Arabidopsis thaliana: one gene and its partners. The protein of the gene in region 1 interacts with the protein of each later gene in a pairwise test. Each region holds a gene or a part of one and is shown in the gene's direction. Other genes may lie near its edges. The genes, in order: NAP1;1, AT1G30880, AT3G06590 and PNM1.

Evidence for each region.
Region 2: the proteins of NAP1;1 (region 1) and AT1G30880 interact in a two-hybrid assay, tested with the Arabidopsis thaliana proteins (2 studies listed by BioGRID).
Region 3: the proteins of NAP1;1 (region 1) and AT3G06590 interact in binary tests that used the Arabidopsis thaliana proteins (3 or more experiments, as listed by UniProt).
Region 4: the proteins of NAP1;1 (region 1) and PNM1 interact in binary tests that used the Arabidopsis thaliana proteins (3 or more experiments, as listed by UniProt).

Annotation. Positions count from the first base shown.
Region 1 is NC_003075.7:13,229,976-13,236,687, forward strand, and holds NAP1;1 (nucleosome assembly protein1;1), read left to right. Parts: upstream 1-2,592; 5' UTR 2,593-2,736; coding exon 2,737-2,782; intron 2,783-2,904; coding exon 2,905-2,948; intron 2,949-3,143; coding exon 3,144-3,239; intron 3,240-3,399; coding exon 3,400-3,492; intron 3,493-3,644; coding exon 3,645-3,735; intron 3,736-3,828; coding exon 3,829-3,890; intron 3,891-3,979; coding exon 3,980-4,164; intron 4,165-4,302; coding exon 4,303-4,480; intron 4,481-4,558; coding exon 4,559-4,602; intron 4,603-4,739; coding exon 4,740-4,929; intron 4,930-5,034; coding exon 5,035-5,052; coding exon of another isoform or gene 5,053-5,085; exon of another isoform or gene 5,086-5,455; coding exon 5,456-5,527; 3' UTR 5,528-5,933; downstream 5,934-6,712. Other genes in the region: CK1 (casein kinase 1), read right to left, coding at 1-12, 105-174, 323-363, 458-533; AT4G26120 (Ankyrin repeat family protein / BTB/POZ domain-containing protein), read left to right, coding at 6,470-6,712. UniProt on the Arabidopsis thaliana protein: May modulate chromatin structure by regulation of nucleosome assembly/disassembly. Contributes to the regulation of cell proliferation and cell expansion. May function in nucleotide excision repair (NER). Involved in somatic homologous recombination.
Region 2 is NC_003070.9:10,991,612-10,995,998, reverse strand, and holds AT1G30880 (uncharacterized protein), read left to right. Parts: upstream 1-1,850; 5' UTR 1,851-1,942; coding exon 1,943-2,177; intron 2,178-2,301; coding exon of another isoform or gene 2,302-2,327; exon of another isoform or gene 2,328-2,492; coding exon 2,493-2,620; 3' UTR 2,621-2,997; downstream 2,998-4,387. Other genes in the region: AT1G30890 (Integral membrane HRF1 family protein), read right to left, coding at 1-387, 510-661, 757-855, 939-1,109; AT1G30870 (Peroxidase superfamily protein), read right to left, coding at 3,114-3,875, 4,177-4,387.
Region 3 is NC_003074.8:2,051,603-2,057,618, reverse strand, and holds AT3G06590 (basic helix-loop-helix (bHLH) DNA-binding superfamily protein), read left to right. Parts: upstream 1-1,952; 5' UTR 1,953-2,306; coding exon 2,307-2,972; 3' UTR 2,973-2,976; exon of another isoform or gene 2,977-3,930; 3' UTR 3,931-4,540; exon of another isoform or gene 4,541-4,619; 3' UTR 4,620-4,872; downstream 4,873-6,016. Other genes in the region: GALK (Mevalonate/galactokinase family protein), read left to right, coding at 5,752-5,914. UniProt on the Arabidopsis thaliana protein: bHLH transcription factor that binds DNA on specific sequence 5'-CANNTG-3' in target gene promoters. Negatively regulates brassinosteroid signaling.
Region 4 is NC_003076.8:24,526,920-24,532,147, reverse strand, and holds PNM1 (Pentatricopeptide repeat (PPR) superfamily protein), read left to right. Parts: upstream 1-2,115; 5' UTR 2,116-2,159; coding exon 2,160-3,725; 3' UTR 3,726-4,059; downstream 4,060-5,228. Other genes in the region: AT5G60964 (ECA1 gametogenesis related family protein), read right to left, coding at 1,224-1,562; COBL5 (COBRA-like protein 5 precursor), read left to right, coding at 4,143-4,209, 4,288-4,361, 4,433-4,865, 4,951-4,991. UniProt on the Arabidopsis thaliana protein: RNA-binding protein that functions in both mitochondrion and nucleus. In mitochondrion, it is associated with polysomes and may play a role in translation. Required during embryogenesis.

The DNA of each region.
Region 1 (6,712 bases):
TTGGAACACCAGCTACCAAAGTTAAGGCAAAAGAAAGGTCATAAGTAACACAAACTTTACATTATCAGAAATCAATATCTCATTCAGAAGATAAGAATCATTACTTCCCCCTTGTAGAATCCTGTATAACTTCGATTCATAGAGCAGCTGTGGATGTTTTGTCTTCACATTTTCCTGGGAAAACAAAAACAAAGAGAATCAAAATCTCAGCTTTTCAACATACTGAACTTGATCAAACTAAACATATTGTGATAATGTTACTTATAAATCCATAAACTTTTTGATCATCAAATTATTAAAATGGGATGACTGAAGAACTCACAAGCTTAATAGCCAGTTCTTCATTCGTATGAATATTAGTACCTGGAAAATCACAGGTTAACAACAATGTTAGAGATAATGTGACGAATTCGATAATCCATAAAATTAAAAACTAGAAAGTGAGAGAGAGACGAACCGAGATAGATCTCTCCAAACGAACCACTACCGATCTTTCGGCCGAGACGAAACTTGTTCCCCACACGAGGTTCCATAAATAACCACGAAACCCCTTGTACAATCTTAACAACCCAGACGCAGATTCAAATAGAGCGAAAGGGACCCCAAAAACAATCCTGACTAGAATCAGCCGCACCAGCAATCCAGAAAAACAACCCAGAGATCACGAACAATGAGATTACGGATTTTTCGCCGACTAAATCAAAACCCAGTAATCATCTTCTTCGTGCTCTCGATCTGGTGAAAAAACTCCATATGAACAGAATGTCGTTTTCTGGGATGCTTCTCTCTCTCTCTCTCCTCTCAAGAATTGAATACGAAGATAAAAAAAAAAAAAAAAAAAAAGAGCTTCGATGGACAGAAAACGATGAGGATGTCTTTCTCAAAGTTTGCGTCTTTTTTTTTTTCCTCTTTCCTTGCAGTTGCGGGTAATGTAAAAAAATTATTTACCTCTGAATGATTCCGGTTTTGTTGCTGTGTGCTATGTTCGGTTTGGTTTCTATGCTTCGGTTCAACCAAACAATCTAATGATTATGGCAAGCAGAATAGTAAAATAGAAAAAATGTGTAAAACATCTATAGAACACATATGTATATACATGCTGAGCATCTTTAAATCCACAAAAATACTACTATTTGAGCCGAATCTACCAACTAAACTAAACCTGGTTTTAAAATTATCCGGTTTATTTGAGAGTTTCAACAACAAGCGCGCTTAGACCATCATTATTCATAGTTTATAAGGTTAGTTCTTAGATAAAGTAGGTCTTAAATTTAATGTTATAATTCAATTAATTGTTAAAAATGACTCTTATATAAGAGCCAAATCTAATGTTTCTTAGGTTAATTCTTAGATAAATTAGGTATTAAATATAATGTTTTAATTCAATTAATCTTAATTCTTAGATAAATTAAGTATTAAATCTAATTGTTTGTCATATTTGTTTAAAATTTTATGTTATGTATGTTTCAAATTTTTTGAGTTGTAATAATTATTAAGTTTTTTAAAATTATAATGTTTCTACTTTTTTTCCAATTTTTTTTTTAAGAACTCAAGTTAAGAGTCCACCATTGCATATTGCCAAAATTTCAATCTCTTAACTAAATTCTTAACTTCAAAATTTTCAAAATCAATTATAAAAATATTCATAAGAACTATTAAGATTATGCTAAGAAACTACTATTAATGATACTCTTATGATGGCTATATGATATAAAAAGATTGACCACTTACCAGGTGTGTTTGCTACGCGTGACTTGAAAGCTCTACAAAATGTTTCTCTTAAGTGGGAGTCGTGGAGGTACAAAAAGCTTTTCACCTTTGCTTTTAATAGGATGAATGAAATGATTTACAGTTATCTGATTAGGTTGAATTTGTCTCATGGTTTTCTGGTTAAAAAAAAATGCTACGCGTGAGGCTTCTTTATTGTGTTTCTGGTCAGACGTATAAAAGGTTGAAACTTCAAATTGAAAATGTCGTGATGAGCTAATCTAGATTAGAGTACGTTTAATTCGTTTGAACTCGGGATGAGCTTAAACCAAACTAAAGATCTTTGTGCCTTTTGGGATATGACTTTTTGTTGTGGACTGTTTTTTTGTTTTTGTTGTGGACTGTTTTTTGTTTTTAATTAGTATGTACAGTGTATGTGAACAAAAGAAGTAATCAGTGTATTGGGCTTGGAAGGCTCATTCTTGGGATGGGCCTTAGTACTAACAGATTCAGAAATCTTCTATTTGATCCCATTAAAGTTCACTAACCTGTACTGTATTTGGTGAAGAATCAAATATATATAAGTGTATATATATATATATAAGTATATAGATAATTAATATAATTACATGCAAAATTTTAATTATATAGATAATTAAAGTTTATATATTAGTTATATATATTTATAATTGATTGAATTCATAAATAAACTTTAATTATCTATATATAAGTCAGTTCTCATTATCCATATATATATGTATGTAAAGTTTTGCATGTTATTTAATTCAATAAACTTAATTTTGCTTTTTAAAACATTAAACATCAATTTTTAGAGAAAGAAAAGTATATATAAAAAGAGAAAAAACTAAAATGGCATTTGTTATAATTTTGGTGTGAAAAGGAGGGAGAGAAAAAAACAAAAAAACAAAGAGGATTTAAGGGTTACGAGTCGCCTCCCCAAAACCCTTGTCCCTAGTCTCTTCTGCTTCTTCTTCTTCAAAATCTCTCTCTTCACCAAATCCTCAGAAGATGAGCAACGACAAGGATAGCTTCAACGTCTCCGATCTTACTGCTGGTAAAATACTCCTACTCACGATTACTCTTATCTCTTTCTCCGCCTCTTAAGCCAGAGCTGCTTTAACCCTAATTTCCTCTGTTATCTGACTGGTGTTCCTTTTGTTTACTGTTTTTTTGCAGCTCTTAAGGACGAGGATCGAGCTGGCCTTGTCAATGCTCTAAAGGTGAGTTTTTTTCCCCTTCTGTAAACTGTCCCGTGAGCATTTGCTATTGAAAGATATGGAGGATGTTGAGTTACTTTCCTCTGATTGTTTAGATACTATAAGCCGTGTCTTGGTGTTTAGTGTTTTGGTTTCAATGTCATTCTTCTAGTACAATGATAGTTTATGAGTTGTTAATACATTGTTATTAATTCACAGAACAAGCTGCAGAATCTGGCTGGTCAGCGTTCTGATGTGCTCGAGAATCTGACTCCCAATGTGAGAAAGCGCGTTGATGCCTTGAGGGATATACAGGTTAGCGAAATTTCTTTCACATTTTACCAAACTATGTGTGCTATATATCGTTTAATGGGGTTTGTTTTGTTTTGTGTGAGTTTTCTCCCTGCTTATCTGAATTTAAAGTTTCAAAAGTAAGGTGTTGCGTTTTGATTACTGATGACTTCTTTCCACGCAGAGCCAACATGATGAACTAGAGGCAAAATTCCGTGAGGAGAGAGCTATTCTTGAAGCCAAGTATCAAACGCTGTATCAGCCTTTGTATGTCAAGGTAATTGTTAATGAGAAAGTTTTACAAACCATTTTACTAAACTCAATGTAGATCTGTGTATACTCTTTTTGCTTATGTTTACTTATCTGCAGCAGTGTTAGTTTTCTATGTGCATCTTAATGAATTCTACTTGGTATCTTGTAATGGCACAGCGTTATGAGATTGTGAATGGCACTACTGAAGTTGAACTGGCTCCAGAGGATGATACCAAGGTGGACCAAGGAGAGGAGAAAACTGCAGAAGGTAACTTCATGAGCACTATGTCTTCTTTGTTTGTTGTTAATCTTTTTGGAAAGACAAAAACAATTTAACATTTTTCTCTGTTTTTCATTGCAGAGAAAGGAGTTCCAAGTTTCTGGCTGACAGCTCTGAAAAATAACGATGTTATTTCCGAGGAGGTAGCCTATATGCAGTTTTGGTGTTCGTTTTATAAACACTCCAATCATAACCATGGAATATGAGCATAACTTATTGTCATTTATGTCAGGTCACAGAGCGTGATGAAGGGGCTCTCAAATATCTTAAAGATATTAAGTGGTGCAAGATTGAAGAGCCTAAAGGATTCAAACTTGAGTTTTTCTTTGACACGAATCCGTATTTTAAGAACACTGTCTTGACAAAGTCTTATCATATGATTGATGAAGATGAGCCACTGCTTGAGAAGGCTATGGGGTAACTACTTATACTCTCTTGCAATTGTTGTATACTTTTAAGTATATTCTGCTTATTAGCTGATTGCATTGAGCTGCTTATTTTTTTTCTTCGCTTATATTGCAAATGGATTCTTATTCTTTCACCATTCATTTTCAGGACAGAAATTGATTGGTATCCTGGAAAGTGTCTAACTCAGAAGATTCTCAAGAAGAAGCCTAAGAAAGGTTCAAAGAATACTAAACCAATCACCAAACTCGAAGATTGTGAAAGCTTCTTCAACTTCTTTAGTCCTCCAGAAGTTCCGGATGAAGATGAAGATATCGACGAGGAAAGAGTAAGATAACGATTGTTAGAAAAACCTGTCATCATTTAGTTAATGTATTTAGTAACTCTTTCTCGTTCTTTGATGCAGGCTGAGGATCTTCAAAACCTGATGGAACAAGATTATGACATCGGGTTCGTCTTTTTCTAAACACACTTTCTCTGTTGATTTTATGGGTTTGCTTTTGAGTCATGGGACTACTTTATCACTGCAATCAAGGTGGTTACCCTTTCATTATTATCTGATCACAAGTACTTTTTACTTTCTGCAGATCTACTATTCGGGAAAAGATTATTCCTCGTGCTGTCTCATGGTTTACTGGTGAGGCTATGGAAGCAGAGGATTTTGAAATAGATGACGATGAGGAAGATGACATTGATGAGGATGAAGATGAGGAAGACGAAGAGGATGAGGAGGACGATGATGATGAGGATGAAGAAGAAAGCAAGACCAAAAAGAAGGTATAAAGTGCCCCAAGTATAGTTGTTTCTTTTTTTTTTTTTTTTCTTCATGCCACGTTAGTTTTTTACTAATCCTTTGAAATCGCTTAATATTTTTTTTTGCAGCCATCAATCGGCAACAAGGTATGTAACCTTTCAGAACTAAAGTTTATTTGATTTTGGAACTCCAACATTCAAATAACCAAACACAAGAAGTTTCAGGCTGAGCATTGTGATGAAAATAGAAATTAATATCGGAAATGTAGGCTCTAGAGGCCCATGAATCATACAGATTGCTGAAAGTAACTGAGCAATCCTAAAAAGTATGAATCAGTAAATAGGTAGTTACGTAGAAGACTCTGAGAAGGATACATGAATGACACAGCAGAGACTAAACAAGCTCTTTAATCATGGCATGGGCAGTACGAGATAGAACCATTCTCATGAATTCATTTTATTACTATAGTAGCAAACTAGCAATCAGTGTCTATGTTTGTGATAAATGTGAGAATCATCTGCTTAATTTTTTTTTCCTCTTGGACTGCAGAAGGGAGGGAGATCTCAGATAGTTGGTGAAGGTAAACAAGATGAGAGGCCACCCGAATGCAAGCAACAGTAATCTTTTACTACGCTCTACCAGACATAAAAGGATTGCGTGAAAATATAATTCAGGTCATTCTCTGTTCATCAAGAATGAGGATTGAGAAAAGGTTTTGGGATTTTTAAAAGTGAAATTCATCTTGTAGGAGTTTCGTTCGTTTTTCTATTGGTGTGTTTATTTTCTCTAAAGCACTTTAATAATATACCTTGGTATTTAATTTATGAATCAAGCATCATCATCCCTAGTCTCTGCATTCACTACTTCATCCCCTACCTAAACTTTGTCGACGAAAGAGATTTTAATAACCATTTAGATAGTAATGGGTAGTGGGAATGATCATTATTCTTTTGTTCACCGTCCTTTGATTTTCAATGGTAACCATTTTGTTGTGTAAGACTACAAAAGATGAATAATTGGACTATGACCATATTATATTAGTCAAGTCTAAATCGGTCGAAATCAGTTCACCTTTAAGATGAGTAATTTGACTAAATGCCTCCGCTTGTTCAACACTAATTATAATTTAAATTATTGTAGAAGGAAAACACAAAGAAAGTGAGGTTCCGAACATCCACAATTTGGACTAATCACATACTACTTAAGAAGTTTAATGCATCATTAGAGCTAAATGAGGGGAAAAAAAAGCTAGCTAAATAAACTTGAGACACTTGTTTGTGTTTGGTGTTATGAAAAACAAACTCAAAAGTCGCAACACTGTTTGGTAAATTGGAGACATGCGAAGAGGGGACCGCTTCGTTACCATTCAGAGTATTTGACGTAATATATTCCGTTTTAAGAAACCTATCTAGTTTCCAAGAAATTTACTAATAAAGGTGCTTGAGAAAGACCGTTGTTGATGATACGTTTTTTTATTTGCTAATGAAACGATTCGGTCGTTGTTTCTTGAAATTCCACTGTTATTAGACTCTTGACTCTGTTTTGTTTCCCGCCGATCTCGTGATGATGGCCACCACCACCACCACCACCACCGCTAGATTCTCTGATTCATACGAGTTCAGCAACACAAGCGGCAATAGCTTCTTCGCCGCCGAGTCATCTCTTGATTATCCGACGGAATTTCTCACGCCACCGGAGGTATCAGCTCTTAAACTTCTGTCTAACTGCCTCGAGTCTGTTTTCGACTCGCCGGAGACGTTCTACAGCGATGCTAAGCTAGTTCTCGCCGGCGGCCGGGAAGTTTCT
Region 2 (4,387 bases), on another chromosome or scaffold:
CAAAGAAGCCAATTAACACTAATGTTACCAAGCCATATCAAAAGTGGGAACTGGACCAAGGCTAAAAACAGAAGAAGGTAGTGATGTTTGCTCGAATCGTAACTTCTTACTTCAGCAAACAGAACACGTTTCATCGTCTTCACCAAGAAAATCCCAGTGCATAGACAAGTCCATGGCATCAACGCGTAGTACGAGTATCCCCACATTATTTTGGCAAAGCCCGCAAGACACAGACCAGCAAAAGCATACCCTCCGTATGCCACAATATCTAGTAATGGTGCCTCTCCACTACCAAGTGATAGAAGTGTTACTTTCAGGAGCATTACTTGCAAAAACCAACCAACCAATCCTTTCACAAACAGCCAATTCAAAGCTTCCGGTGTAAACCTAGAGACCAATCAGGTTTGAAATGGATTAATAATCACTCTGTCCACAACAATCATTCAAGACCTAAGACAGAAAACTATTTAGAGGGAATCATAGGGAGGGAGACGAAGCACAACACTTACTTTCCATTAAGTCCCAATGAAAGACCAGCAAGAACAACGTAGGTACCAAATGCCATAAAGGGAATGTACAAGTCTGGAGCATTGATATCATATATTGGAGGCTTGTATGAGAGCCTACCACCAACTGGTTCAGATATTCTGGTCCAGTGTCCCTGAGGGTTTGAAGCAGAACCCACAATAGTACAATTAAATGGCTGATAATAAGAGAAAGTCCCAAACAGAAGAAGAAAAGAGAAGACTAGCTTACCCGGTGTAGGAAAGGAAACAGAACAACCTTCAGTTTATTCCTCACATATTGATCATTCACTTGGAAATAGTATTGCGGATCAGAGAAGTACCGGCTTATCTATTCCATTGCGATAACAACAAGTTCAAAACCATGAAAACCAGATATTACGTGTGATATGGAATCATAAAGAGTTCACTTACATTGCTCTGAACATACTCAGAGCTCGATCCTAAAATTCTCTCCCCATACGCTCCCAAACCACCACGGATAAAACCCGAGCCAGCTCCAGTGAAAGGATTACCAAATGGACCAGGCTCAGGGTTTCCTGGAGGTCTTGGCATCCCCGGTTGAGGTCCCATGTTATTATACATCTCTGCCATCAAACCAAAACAATCACATCTTTATCTCAAACCAAACCAACCACAGTCAATACACATCTCCAACTTCTAAACTCTTAACTCTTGAAACCAAACAGTATTATCAACATTTACTTCTTAGATTCCACAGAATCTTCTTCAAAATTTCAATTTCAATTTCCACAGAATCTTCTTAGATCCTAATATCGATTCTAAAGTCATAATCTCAATTCGTAATCACTTCCATTGCTTTTTCGAATTTCAATCACGACAATGCATAACAAAGCAAAGCCAAAACTAGATCTATGATTCAACCAGAAGCATTCAAGTTCAATAACACAATCAATCCAAACCTAAAATCTATCGAAATTTATCAAATCTAACAAAAGAACAAAGATCTGATTCGCTAATCGAGAAACAACAACGCATACGAAATAGCAAGACGAAGAGCAAAATTCCACTACCGATCCACACCAAATCAAAACTAACCCGGAGATAAAGAGGTAGAGAGCTCAAAGCTTCAACGAGAAAGTTAGAGTTTTCTTCAAATGGAAACAATGGATTCTCCTCAGAAATCAAACAGTGTGATCTGCACGCAGACGAAGAAGGGTATTATCGGGTTTTCCATTCGAAGCGTTCTTCTCTATTTATTTGGGCCTAAATTGGGCCAATAATTTTCCGAATAGGCTCTAAACTTGGATAGGATACATTTAAACTCGTAACCAAACAGAACCGGAGCAATTCCTTTGTTCCTCAATTAGGTTTAGACTTTATAAAAGAAGTCCGACGCAGAAATTAAAACCCCTTTTGCCTCAAAACCCTGATTTCAAATCTCCCCAAGCACAACAATGGCGAAATCAATGAGATGCAAGAGGGTGAAGAGATTGAGAGCAATAAGAAGAGAAATAGTGGAGAAGGAATCATTCACTCTAACGAGAGAAGACGCCAAATCCGCCGCTATTGAAGCCGCACTCGCTGCTCCGAAGTTACCAGTTCGTCAAGCCCCAGTTTCTCCGTTTATGGAAGTTGCGACGCCTTCCTCTGAGTCTGCATCTGCCTCCACTACAATCGCCAACGATAGTGGTATGCCTCCTCTAAATTTGCCTCTTTGATTTTGTACGATTTGGTTTTAGATAAGGTAACGCTTGAAGAATCGAATTTAAGCTAAGCTTTAGAATCTGAAATTTAACTGAATCATTCATTTTAGTTGAAATCTTTGAAGGAGCTTGTTAGTTCATTACTCTTGGGAAGGTTGTTACTCTAAGAGAAACGTATCGCTCTAAAAGCTTTGTTTGGTTTCTTTATATTGAATTTTGTGTGCATCTACAAGTATATCTTTGAAAGTTTTGGTATTAAGGGTTTGTTCTGTTTTGGGATACTATTGTTGTTTGCTTGTAGATGAGGAAATGGATGATGAGAAGAAAAACAAGTCGCTAAAACCTATTGGGAAGAAGTTGAAGAAGAAGTTTAAGCTGGGGATGAAGAATCGTCGTAGTAAGGGTGTCCTTCGAGGCAAACGAAACTAAAACTGGTCTTGGCTTTCTTCTACTGGGTTTGTTTTCTACTTGCATAATTTATGTTCTCTCTTAATTTTGGGGTTCTTCAATGTCTTAGAATATAGCATCTTTTGTACTGTGTTTTTTCCATGAGTTTCAGTACTATAGAAACCCTAAAAACGTGATCGCGTCTGAATTGTGTCTCCCATCTTTCATTTTTCTTGCACCAAAAGCTATCATCACAACTTGATTTAGAGTTAACGTTTAGGGTTATTACCATTAACATCATGAACCCTTTGACATAAATTGATCATGTTGGACTGATATTAAGTATTGTCTTGATCAAATAGTGACGGTAAGTGTAGAACTCATGTAAATCGAAGTTGCAACGAAAATAATTCACAGTTTTTGTTCTTGTTCATACAACAAATTACAAAATTGCAATAGAAAAGAGCTCAAAAACCAAACAAGAAATTATTTCAAGAAACAAAAGATCCTTCTCATGAGGGATGATGATTATAATTTAGTAAGCTCTGGAGTTAGATTTGCTGCAAACCTTCCTGATCTCTCCGACACGATCTTCACCAGTGAGAACTCCAACGTTGACCAGCTTAGCCATGGACACAGCAAACTGCTGTCTGAATATCTGAGGTGATTGCTCTGCGAAAGTCTTTACAAGCGGAGCAGTCCTTGGGTCCTTAACAAGCTCCTGATCAGTCGACAAAACTCCCATATGCTTCTGAAGATTAATGTAGTACTGATTATCGAACACTGCTGGAGTTACAGGGTCGAGATCGACGGTCTCAGAGGCCCAGCGACACCTGCGTTGCAAGTAATCAGCGTATTTTGCGTCAATCGAAGGATCTGAACCACTGGTTGCGTTGTAGTTGTAAAGCCTCGACTGGATGGTGCCACAGGACGCTTTTCCGATGGTGTGGGCCCCGGAAAGGACAACTAGGTCGAGGACGTTGAGACCGTATGACTGAAACGTTTCGAGAAGGGCGGTAACATCACGACGGCCTGAAGGGACTTTCTCTACGTCTCTAGCGTAAGAGTGTTTGGAGTCACGACGACCGTAGACGTTGGGCCAGTAAGGACCACCAAGTTGGACGGTGGCGGCACGGCTGGCTGATGTTAGGATGTCGGCGCAGGATACTTTGCCGGGGCATGATTTCTCCATCTCGGACTTGATATCGTCAATTAGCTCGAAGCCTCTTAGTGTTTTGCTAGCCGGAGATCTTCTCTCTGTCCCTTCGTAGTCTAGAAGAACAGACGCATCACATCCCTGAAAGTTGTGTTAATTCATGTACAAAAATGTCAAGTTGTTATCTTTTAAAATGCATAACTATATTAGATATGCGCAAAACACTCAGATGCGTTTATACACAGAATAAAGTGCGCAAGTCCGTCTTCAATATTAAGAAACTTATATCTATATACTATCAATGTTCCAAGTATGGTCTAGATAGACGGAAGAACAATTCTAATCTCTAATAGAGTAATAGTGAAACCCATTTTTAGAACAATGTAAATCATATATGAATCAAAACATTGGCTATATATAATTGAACGATTAATTGCAATACCGTGACGCCACAATCGTGGAAGATAAGGCGGAGGAGGGCGGGACCAAGGGAAGAGTCACTCTTAGTCCATTCCCTCACTTTCGTAACAACGATTTTCTCAAAATCTGGACAAATCCTATCATAATAATTCAACGATAATAGGTTGTCCAAAGGGAACAATGACTTTGTATCATCATCGTCATCGCCTCCGTATCCTCCCGCTCCAGGTAAG
Region 3 (6,016 bases), on another chromosome or scaffold:
CCAAAATAGACCCGTTGAAAAAACAATGATTGAGCATCATCATCTGTTAATCTAATCAATACTTCCCTTTTTCTTCCTTTAAAAAGAAACTAGTCCTTCTTCTTCCATTGTCTGTCGTTCACTTAGTTTATTTGGTGTCTAGAATTAGGGAGGCAATCTCTGTGCCACCTTCATCATACTTAATAGTTAGTTTTCCTTTCCTTATCAACTTTTTTCATTAATATAATAAGAAAAAACTCATTACATCCGAGATACATAATGATTTGCAAATAAATTTGAAAACCTTAGATAGCTGGAATTATGATTTACAGTAGTAAATTTTCATAGTAACAAATTTGAACTTCCAATCCGAAATATATTTATTTCTATTAATGGAAGATAACAATTACAGCCAGCAACCTTTGTGATACATGTTTTTTTTGTTGTTGTTGTTGAAGTAGAGCCCATGAGAATTACGCAAATCGCAGATTCGAATAGTGGTTTCTTTGACTCAGTTCGTAAAACAGATAATTCATTAGGTTGCTTTGTTCTTCACCAACAAATTTTCTGCTTGATTCTAAAGTATAAATTGAGAAAATTTAAGTATCTAAATCGAAAATATATTCTTAAATTCGAAGTAGATAAACTATTTTATTGTAAGTGACACTTTAGTGAATAATTGGATATGTTGTTTCTTATCATTAATTTGTCATGTGGAATCATTCTAGCTTATAACTTTCTAAGGTACAGAGAATATGCCACGTTACTGACACAATTATTAACCCTTAGCCCTTAGGTTAAATGAATACTATTATCTATGAAGCATTGCGCATTGCGCTCTGTTTCTAACATCCTTTCCACCCGCCTAAAAACATCTTAATACAGTATATATACCATTGTGGTACTTTTATGTCTAACATAAACTAAGATAGGTATTTTCCATTTTAACTGCTGATCAAACTCAACATAGTGAACAGTACAAACAAAAATCAAACTAACAGTAACTTTTCTAGAAAATTAGTTTGAACGTAGCTAGCTTTATTTATATATGAATTAACCCAATGGAGAAGTTCAGAAGCTCCTTTTTTCAGCAGGATATATGAATAAAATGACGCCACTCCCTTATACTTTACCCAACAATCTATTAATCTTATATCTACTTATACATATACACAAAATTTAATGAAATTTTATTCATACATATTGATAGATACACATACAAAACTTTTTTTTGATAAAATACAGGAGTTAATTTCAGTGATCTTTTCTTTACAGGGAAAGAAAAAAAAGCCGTAAAGAGAGGCAGTGCCACTAACCCTACATCGCACATGCATTTCGTTTGGTATATTACTTTATGCGTAAAGTAGTATTTTAAATACAATTCCAATATTTACGAAATCATTGCACTGAATACAAAATCCAAAGTTTTGAGTTTTTGGCCCCTCTCTTTTTGCCCTGTCAGTCCATTAAACGACCACTATAAGTCGTAAATGGATTTCTCCAATAGTAATATGACACGTCATCCTTTCGTTTGAATCTACCTTCCTCCTCCATTCCACCAAAGTATCGGCCTTTATACAAGTTTGTTTGTTTTCTCTTTTCGTAAACATCTTTAGATATCAATAAGCTAATTTAGTAATTAAGATTGTACCCTAAATTGATTGGAAACTATCGTTATGGATGCTCTACCCACATTAGGATCTTTGTAGCATTTCTATTATGTATTTTACTCTCTATTTAGATTATGTCTACAAAAGATCGAAAACTCGTGATTGTAAGAAATTTTGTATATAAATTTCTTTCTAAAATCTCTGTCAAGAGGGTAAGTTTAAAAAAATAATTGTGAACTAATCAACGTGGAACAAAACTTTTTAAGTATAATCATAATTCATAAACATTGCTTCAAGTCACAATGATGTCTCTGTCTCTCATTATTCCAAAACCATTAGAGGTTATAGAGCCAGTTAATTATAACTTATCAATTCCACTAGTGTTGAGAATGAAATTATTTGTTTCTTGGTGGTATTCACGAATTCTCTTTATCATGCATTACAAATGCCACTTTCGTATCTGGCTAAAACAACAAATACTAAAAAACAAATTGACAAAACGACGCCGCTTATTAACTGCTACATCTAAAACGGGGCCGTTTGTTAACTGCTACGTCTCGTGATAGTTGATACCTCTCTCCCTTTATATATCTTCCTCTTCTTCTCCCTTCCATTATTCTCCACAATTTCATAACTTTCTTCCGCTCAACTTCAGATAAATTCGGATTCTGTAGCTCTTTCAATACGACTGCGGAGATCAGAGCCAATTATTTGGTTATGGCGTCTCTGATCTCAGATATTGAACCGCCGACGAGTACTACTTCAGATCTCGTTCGGAGAAAGAAGAGATCCTCTGCTTCATCCGCCGCATCGTCTCGTTCAAGCGCATCTTCCGTCTCCGGTGAGATTCACGCGCGATGGCGATCGGAGAAGCAACAACGGATCTACTCAGCCAAACTGTTCCAAGCGCTCCAACAAGTCCGCCTCAACTCTTCCGCCTCAACATCATCATCTCCAACGGCTCAGAAACGAGGAAAGGCCGTCCGTGAAGCCGCCGATCGAGCTCTTGCCGTTTCCGCTCGGGGAAGAACACTCTGGAGCAGAGCGATCTTAGCTAATCGGATCAAACTGAAATTTCGTAAACAGAGACGTCCTCGAGCTACGATGGCGATTCCGGCCATGACTACGGTGGTTAGTAGCAGCAGCAACAGATCGAGAAAACGGAGAGTGTCGGTGTTGAGATTGAATAAGAAGAGTATACCGGATGTTAACCGGAAAGTACGTGTTCTAGGCCGGTTAGTTCCCGGTTGCGGTAAACAATCCGTACCGGTGATTCTAGAAGAAGCAACTGATTATATTCAGGCTCTGGAGATGCAAGTGAGAGCCATGAACTCTTTAGTTCAGCTTCTCTCCTCCTACGGCTCAGCTCCTCCACCGATTTGATGAGGTTAAAATCGTCTTTTTAATTCTACCATCTCTCGATCTTTCACAGCTTATGTGTATATAGAAGATTCGGTTTGATTATAATCTGTAACTACTCTTCCCAACCGCTGATTCTTCTCTGCTACAAGTAAAAGTAAATTTTGAACCGAGTCTTCCCATTTTTACGATCCTCAAGTCTAAATTAAGTATATGATTGATTAATAAAGTCTTTACCATTAGGGTTCAAATCGTAGTTGGATTATTTGATTTAGATTGATGAATTCGTTGTTGATCAAAAAAAAAATAAGATTGATGAATTCGTTATTGGAGTTAGTGGGAAAATGGGTTCCTCTTTTAACCTCATAGTATGTGATAACTAAACCAATATGGAACTTTTGATGTACTTTTAGTTCATTCAATATGGCTTTGTACTATATCATCTTATGTACTATATGAAATTTCAACATGAAATAGATTTGTACTGCAATAAAGTGGAAAGAAAATAATTTCCCATTTAGAATTTTAAAATACATTATAGTAGATGTAGGAAGATAATGGGTTAACTTTAGTTTTGATTATGGTAGCATGTGATGATGCATTAGAGAATGAATGGAATGATACATTCAAATTCATTGAATTGAATGATGACTGATGAGATTGATCTGTCACTCAATCATCTACTCGCTTTATTGCCCCTCCTTTGAATCCCATTTTTGATACTTATAGGTTGTTTGTCTTCTTTTTCTTTTCTTTTCCTTATTTCACAAGAAATATAAAGGAAAAAAAGAAGAAAAAAGATTAAATTAGCTAATAATTCCCTGTTACTAAATAAGTTTTCTCAAACACTAATCTGCAGTTCTGCACGTACTGTATATCCTTCAATATTCATCACGAAGCAAAACTGAATAACCTGTAGTTAAAATTGACTTAACAGGAGTTTGATTCATTAGCTTAATTAATATACGAATTTCTGTGATAGGGATATGATTTAAGAACACTGGAGTATGACTAGGCGACAACAAGAGACAAGTGACGACAAAAGCAAAAAATATTTAAAACATAGAGAGAAGTGACCTTAAAAGTATGAGGAGGCACATGGGAGTGGCCATGCCTTTGTCCTCTTGTTTCTTTTTAAGCCTTCTCTTATTAACTTGCACGACAACTCTTTTCATCACATATTTCATAAGTTATATTATTATTGCCAAAAGGGACAAACTATTAGAGAAAATAAACCGCAACATTGTAGAAGATTGGATTAAAACTCGCCAACACACTATTAGAGAAACTTGCCCAGATAAAATTATGTCCATGTCGAACACAGTTATAACCAAGGAGCCTAATTCCCAAAAAATGATTTTTATATTTGGAAACCATCCATTGCAGATACTCCTGGAGGTTTCTCCTAGTCTTCAGTGCCGAAGATTTCACGACAAAAGAAGACTTGAAAATCTCGATACTCTTTTGCGGAACTTTCCCACCGCGACACAAAGAGATCACTCCACAGAGATATGAGGCAGCTTTGAGTCCTTTAGACGCGGCTTTTGCAAACATTCGATCCCTTTCTCTTCATCAACAATATTACTGAATAGGTAAAAGCACTTCACAATTCCTTCACGAGCCACTGCTTCCGTGTTTCCGCTCTCTCTGCATCTCTTGAGAAAACTCTAGCTTTAGTTATAGGTCATCGTTTGCGGTTTTGATTTCGTCGAGGCAGACGTGTTCGAGAACTTGAGGGTCGTTGCAGAGATTATGTAATGATTTGCATACGAGGCTGAAGTTGAACAAGCTTGAGTGAAGAAAGAGCCACGCGTGGCAAGATCTCCTTCACAACCACTTCTTCTGGGAGAGACTCCATTTTATAGTGATTTGAGAAATGATATTTTAATTTAGGGTTTCAACTTAGACGTTTGCTTATTAAATTGTGTGAATAAATAAATATATATATATATATATATATATATATATATATATATATCATTAATAAATAAATAAACGATAAGAGTAACCTTAAAAATCTAGTTGAACCCTAAACCCTATGGCTAATATATACAATGTAATATATTATTCCTCTAATCATCTTTTAGAAATTTTTTATTATTTTTAATTTACACATAAATCAATATCTTTTTCAGATATAGTTTTATCTACATTGTATGTAATACCTCCATGTTGCTACACGTTAACACTTGCATATTTGTTACTCAATCTAATTAAGCAGGAATTAAAAACAACGGTTAACCGGAAAACTTTTACTATTTATCCATTCAGTATTATCTTATAGCTCAAATTACTTTTAGTTTTTACATATAGGATATAACTCTCACACACGTAAAATACGATTAAATTTAAATTCAAACTAGGACACTTATCTAATCTAGTGTTATCTGAATTCATAGAGTGTTAGAAGAATTAGGAAACGTTTTTTAATCAATAACATCATTTTTGGGAATAATATGTTTATCAAATATAAACCTACCCAAAGAAAAAAAAAATCACCAACAAATATAGTACGAATTAAGATTCATAAACGTGTTCCGGAATCCAAAAGATCGAAAGTTTTGGATAAGTAAGATATTCACAAATATTCATTTTTAAAATTCAAAATATTCGATAAATACAAGCGATCTTCCGGAACAGATCTTAAATACGATAAACAATTAATATATTTTAGAAATAAGATCGGTGGCAATTAATAATTATGCTCTAGCGAAGACGTTTCGTGATAACTGTGAACATTAGAGGTTAAGTGACGACAAGTGATCGAGAGAGACAGAGAGAGCCAAAAGGAGAAACTACAAAAATGGCGAAACCGGAAGAAGTATCAGTCCCGATCTTCACATCTCTTGAGCCTGTCTACGGCGAAGGATCTCTGCTCCAAGAAGCTACACAACGATTCGATGTTTTGAAGGCCAATTTCAACGATGTCTTCGGTGCTTCTCCCCAACTCTTCGCTCGCTCTCCTGGTAAATAATCTCGGGTTTTTGAATTTTTGCAAAAATTGGAATTTCGTTGACTTTGAGATGAATTGGTTTCTAATTATTGTATCGATGTCTGCAATTTTGGTA
Region 4 (5,228 bases), on another chromosome or scaffold:
TTAGTTAATTGGAGTTGTTGTAATTTCCATATAGTCTACATGTTTAGTTTGATGTCGATATAAATATTAATGCCTTTTATGTCATTTCTTGAGTGTTGGATACAAATAACGATCATTCTCCTAACTCCAAACAAGTAATTAGGAGATTAGGTTCGAAATATATGTATTAGGAGATTAGTTTAGCACACATCCCTGACGATATATGTATTTGGAAGCTTGTTAGGAACCGACATTCTCATAGCCTATGCTGAGCATCTGACTAACCCAAAATGATGACGACGTGAGATATATTCGTAAGCAAATTATGTGGAGGACCGGGACATAAGCGCACAAAGGGAACACGCTATTGGGCTGTAAAAATAAAGGAGAAAGAGCTCACAAATTTTCTAAAGAAGACAAAATCAATATGAGCCCCCGGCGAGGATCGAACTCGCGGCCTTTCGCTTACGAAGCGAACGCAATACCACTATGCTACGGAGGCATCCGAAATTATAAAGGTATTTTTAATATATAATTCGGTTCGTTTTCCATATTTTCCAACTACTGCGTGACGATAAACTAAAAGCTTAAGTGATGGGTTCAGGGTTCTTCATGTACTGATGTATAAGACTCATAATATTCATGTGCTGATGTTCACATGAAGATAAATATTATGAAAAGAACCTTTGTGACTTCATCACGATATATAAGACTCACATGCAACCAAAGAAAATGATCAAGTTAGAAGAAGACTCACAAATTTCAAAATAATTTTTTACTTTTGCTACGGAGGTCTCTGGAGGCCAGGGAGACACGGTTTCATGAGTCATGATTGTTATCTTTTCAAAAATATAGATATTATTAATATGTTATTATTTTCTCCTATAGTGTTACCGGCTATAAAATAAAAAACTTGAGAGTTCAGACGTATTAGAATGTGTGATTTCCATCATCCAGACATAATCTGTTCACCATGTTTGCTGATTTGAATTTCAATATTCGTAATTATAAATACATAAATTTTTTAAGAAGATTAACCTTGTAACTATTTGTTTATATGTCTATGTCCATGTAAAGTATCATATTGTCAACTAAATAAAGATGAAACACAGAAAAGTGAATGTTGTAATGCTATTATTGTATAATTGTAGTTTTTGAGTACAACATTTAGCAAATCAACTTTATTTTTGTTAAAAGACTTATATATATATATATATATATATATATATATATATATTAAAATTCTATTTTCTAACAACTTTTAAACAATGATTTCTTATGAAAGAAGGAAAATGTGGCATGTATGGAATTTTTGGCAAGCAGTAATCTCTGGTATGTAAATATGCCTTGCAACAATAAGGACTAATCACCCATCGCCTATTAGATACGGATTGAGTAGTTTCTATAACGCATATTGGAAATTTCATCACAGATGAATAACATTTGAATATACGAGAAAATACTGGAAAACTATTAAGTAACGGATATGGATCAGTAAAAATAGACGAAAATGGTGGCCTTGCATTTACGGAGACTATAATGCATATGACCATTAAAAGTGAAATCACATTTTTAATAGACATACTGAGATATTGAGAAAAAATAAAGAAAAAAAACTTTGTTAGTATAACAAAATATATGTTTAGTAGTTGATTGATGAACAACAATAAAATCCTTGCCTATTTAAATGGAAGGGAACAAAACTATGGTATTAATTATCTTGATTAACGTCTTTGAACTCTTTTAATAGCACTTATTAATTAGCAGTTTATAAAATTGAATAGTGTTAAAACTTCTAGAAACGAACAACATTTAAGTAACAAATATAGGAATATGTTAATTCTATGAGGACTCTATGTATTAATTAAATTAAAAAAAAAATGAATAATAAAATTATAACATGATTATTATTAGAGTAGGTGGAGGTGCGGGGAATCGAACCCCGTGCCTCTCGCATGCGAAGCGAGCGCTCTACCATATGAGCTACACCCCCATTTTGAGTAAAAATGAAACAGATACATAATAAATTCAAATTAAACAATCAAAAGGGGCTTAAGCAAATCAAGGCCCGAAACGAAGCCCAATTACTCAAGATGTTCCTAAATCCTGAACTAGGGTTTTATTCTATTTCCCTTTCTCACTAACTCTCTAGTTACCAATTTTCTCTCACTAAATCAGAAATGCCGCCGTCGTTACCGTCTCTGCAACTCCGACGGCTTCTCCTCCGTAGCTTCATTTCCTCCTCCTCCGTCAATACTCTTCAATCTCAGCCCCGTATCATTTCTTCCAAGCCGTTGTTTTCTCCTCTTCCCCCTTCCCGTTCCTCTATATTCTCAACATTTCCTTCTAGATTCTTCTCATCTGAAACGAATGCGGAATCGGAATCTTTGGATTCGAATGAGATCGCTCTCTCTTTCTCGAAGGAGCTCACCGGGAATCCAGACGCCGAGTCTCAAACCATTTCGCAGAGATTCAATCTCAGCTTCTCCCACATCACGCCTAATCCCGATTTGATTCTCCAAACTCTTAATCTCTCACCGGAAGCTGGTCGCGCGGCTCTAGGTTTTAACGAGTGGTTAGATTCGAACTCTAACTTCTCTCACACCGATGAAACAGTTTCGTTTTTCGTCGATTACTTTGGCCGTCGGAAAGATTTCAAAGGAATGCTAGAGATCATCTCGAAATACAAAGGTATCGCCGGAGGTAAAACACTAGAATCGGCGATTGATAGGCTTGTTAGAGCTGGTAGACCTAAGCAGGTCACTGATTTCTTCGAGAAAATGGAGAATGATTATGGTTTGAAACGTGATAAAGAATCACTTACCTTGGTTGTGAAGAAGCTTTGTGAGAAAGGACACGCGAGTATCGCAGAGAAGATGGTGAAGAACACTGCTAATGAAATATTTCCTGATGAGAATATATGTGATTTGTTGATTAGTGGATGGTGTATTGCTGAGAAACTCGATGAAGCAACTAGGTTAGCTGGTGAAATGTCTAGAGGAGGATTTGAGATAGGAACCAAAGCGTATAACATGATGCTTGATTGTGTTTGTAAGCTTTGTAGGAAGAAAGATCCTTTTAAGCTTCAACCTGAAGTAGAGAAGGTTTTGCTGGAGATGGAGTTTCGTGGTGTACCTAGAAACACAGAGACTTTCAATGTGTTGATTAACAATCTTTGTAAAATCAGGAGAACTGAAGAAGCAATGACATTGTTTGGTAGGATGGGTGAATGGGGTTGTCAACCAGATGCTGAGACTTATCTTGTTCTGATTAGGAGTTTGTATCAAGCAGCGAGGATCGGTGAAGGGGACGAAATGATCGATAAGATGAAATCAGCGGGATATGGTGAGCTTTTGAATAAGAAAGAGTATTACGGGTTTCTCAAGATATTGTGTGGGATTGAGAGGCTTGAGCATGCGATGAGTGTGTTTAAGAGCATGAAAGCTAATGGATGCAAACCTGGGATCAAGACTTATGATTTGTTGATGGGGAAAATGTGTGCGAATAACCAGCTGACTAGAGCTAATGGTTTGTATAAAGAAGCGGCTAAGAAAGGAATCGCTGTTAGCCCTAAGGAATACAGAGTAGATCCACGGTTTATGAAAAAGAAGACCAAGGAAGTGGATAGCAATGTTAAGAAGAGGGAGACTTTGCCTGAGAAAACCGCGAGGAAGAAGAAACGGCTCAAGCAGATCAATATGAGTTTTGTTAAGAAACCGCACAATAAGATGAGACGGAGAATGTGATGCTGATGAATCTTCAACATCTGATAGAATTTTCTAAAGATTATTGTCTTTGTTCTTTCCTTTTTAAGATATTGTCAAGAGTACTCATCATTTTGCTTGATCATGAGCAAATTGTCCCAATAATCTTTTGTTTTGTCTCAGTGTAACGTTTACTAAGAGTTCATGCTTGGCTCAAGAATCGGAGGTAAAATTAGGTTTCTTGGTTAATTGAATGCTTCTCTTGTACATCCAAGTTGAGTTTAATTATAACGGATCAAGTCAGCTAATCTTTGTTAATTATCTAATATATTAAAGTTAAAACAAGATCCCGTGTATAAAGGCATATCAACGTGCAAATGTATACTAGTCAAAGTCGTCGCCTTGATCTATATTCTTACAAAGTCTCTCTCTGTCTCTGTTCACATCGGAACCACAAGAATGGAGTCTCTCTTCTCCACGATGATTGTCCTGCTCTTGGTTTCTTTTTCCTGTCTCATTTCTACAGGTAAATTTCCTTGTACACAATCACCTGCATTTGTCTTTTCTAAAACTTCAAAAGTCTTTTATGTTCTTTAATCTGCAGAAGCTCTCACCAGCAACTATGGAAACATCACAGTCAAATGGGATCTCTTGAACTGGACGCCTGATGGCTACGTTGTAAGTTCTTCTTCTTCGTGTCTCACAAAATCTCAGAGTCTGCTTTAACTTCAAAATTGACTCTATCTCAGGCAGTGGTTACAGCCTACAATTACCAGAAGCAACGTTCGATTCCAGGATGGAAAATGAGCTGGAGAGGGACCAAGAAAGAAGTGATCTGGAACATGTTGGGTGCAAAAACGACAGGGCAAGGAGGTTGTTCCATGTTCAAAGGAAATATCCCGCAGTCCTGCGTTCGTAAGCCAACAGTTGTCGATTTGCTTCCCGGAACTCCTTTCAATCAGCAGATCGCTAATTGCTGCAAAAGCGGTGTCTTAAAACCTGGTTCAGAAAGTGCATTCCAGTTATCTGTTGGTAGCGCTGGTAACTCGGTTAAGACTGCTCGGATGCCGGCAAACTTCATGTTCACGGCACCTAAACAACAGTACATATGTGGACCGAGTAAGAACGTTAGACCAACGAGGTTTACAACCGCCGACAAAAGGAGAATAACTGCAGCCCTAAGTAAGTTTCACAACAAAAACAAACCTCGACAAATCTGTAATTCTGATTTTGAGACTCACCTGCTTCTTTTTTTGTTCTTATGCAGTGACCTGGAACATTACTTGCGTCTTCCACAAAGCAACATGAACAACGCAACTCTCCAAAGGAACATTATCATAAGCAAATCTTTCTCCAGAGTTTATATGGATTTGTATTATCATGTATGGTTTATGTTTTAAGAAAATAAAATACACTATTTTAATTATTTTCTTCCATAGTGTGTTACCGGCTACAAAATCAAAGACTTGAGTGGTCAGACGTATTAGAATGTGTGATTTCCATGATCAAGACATATTCTATTCACCATGTTTGCTGATTTGAATT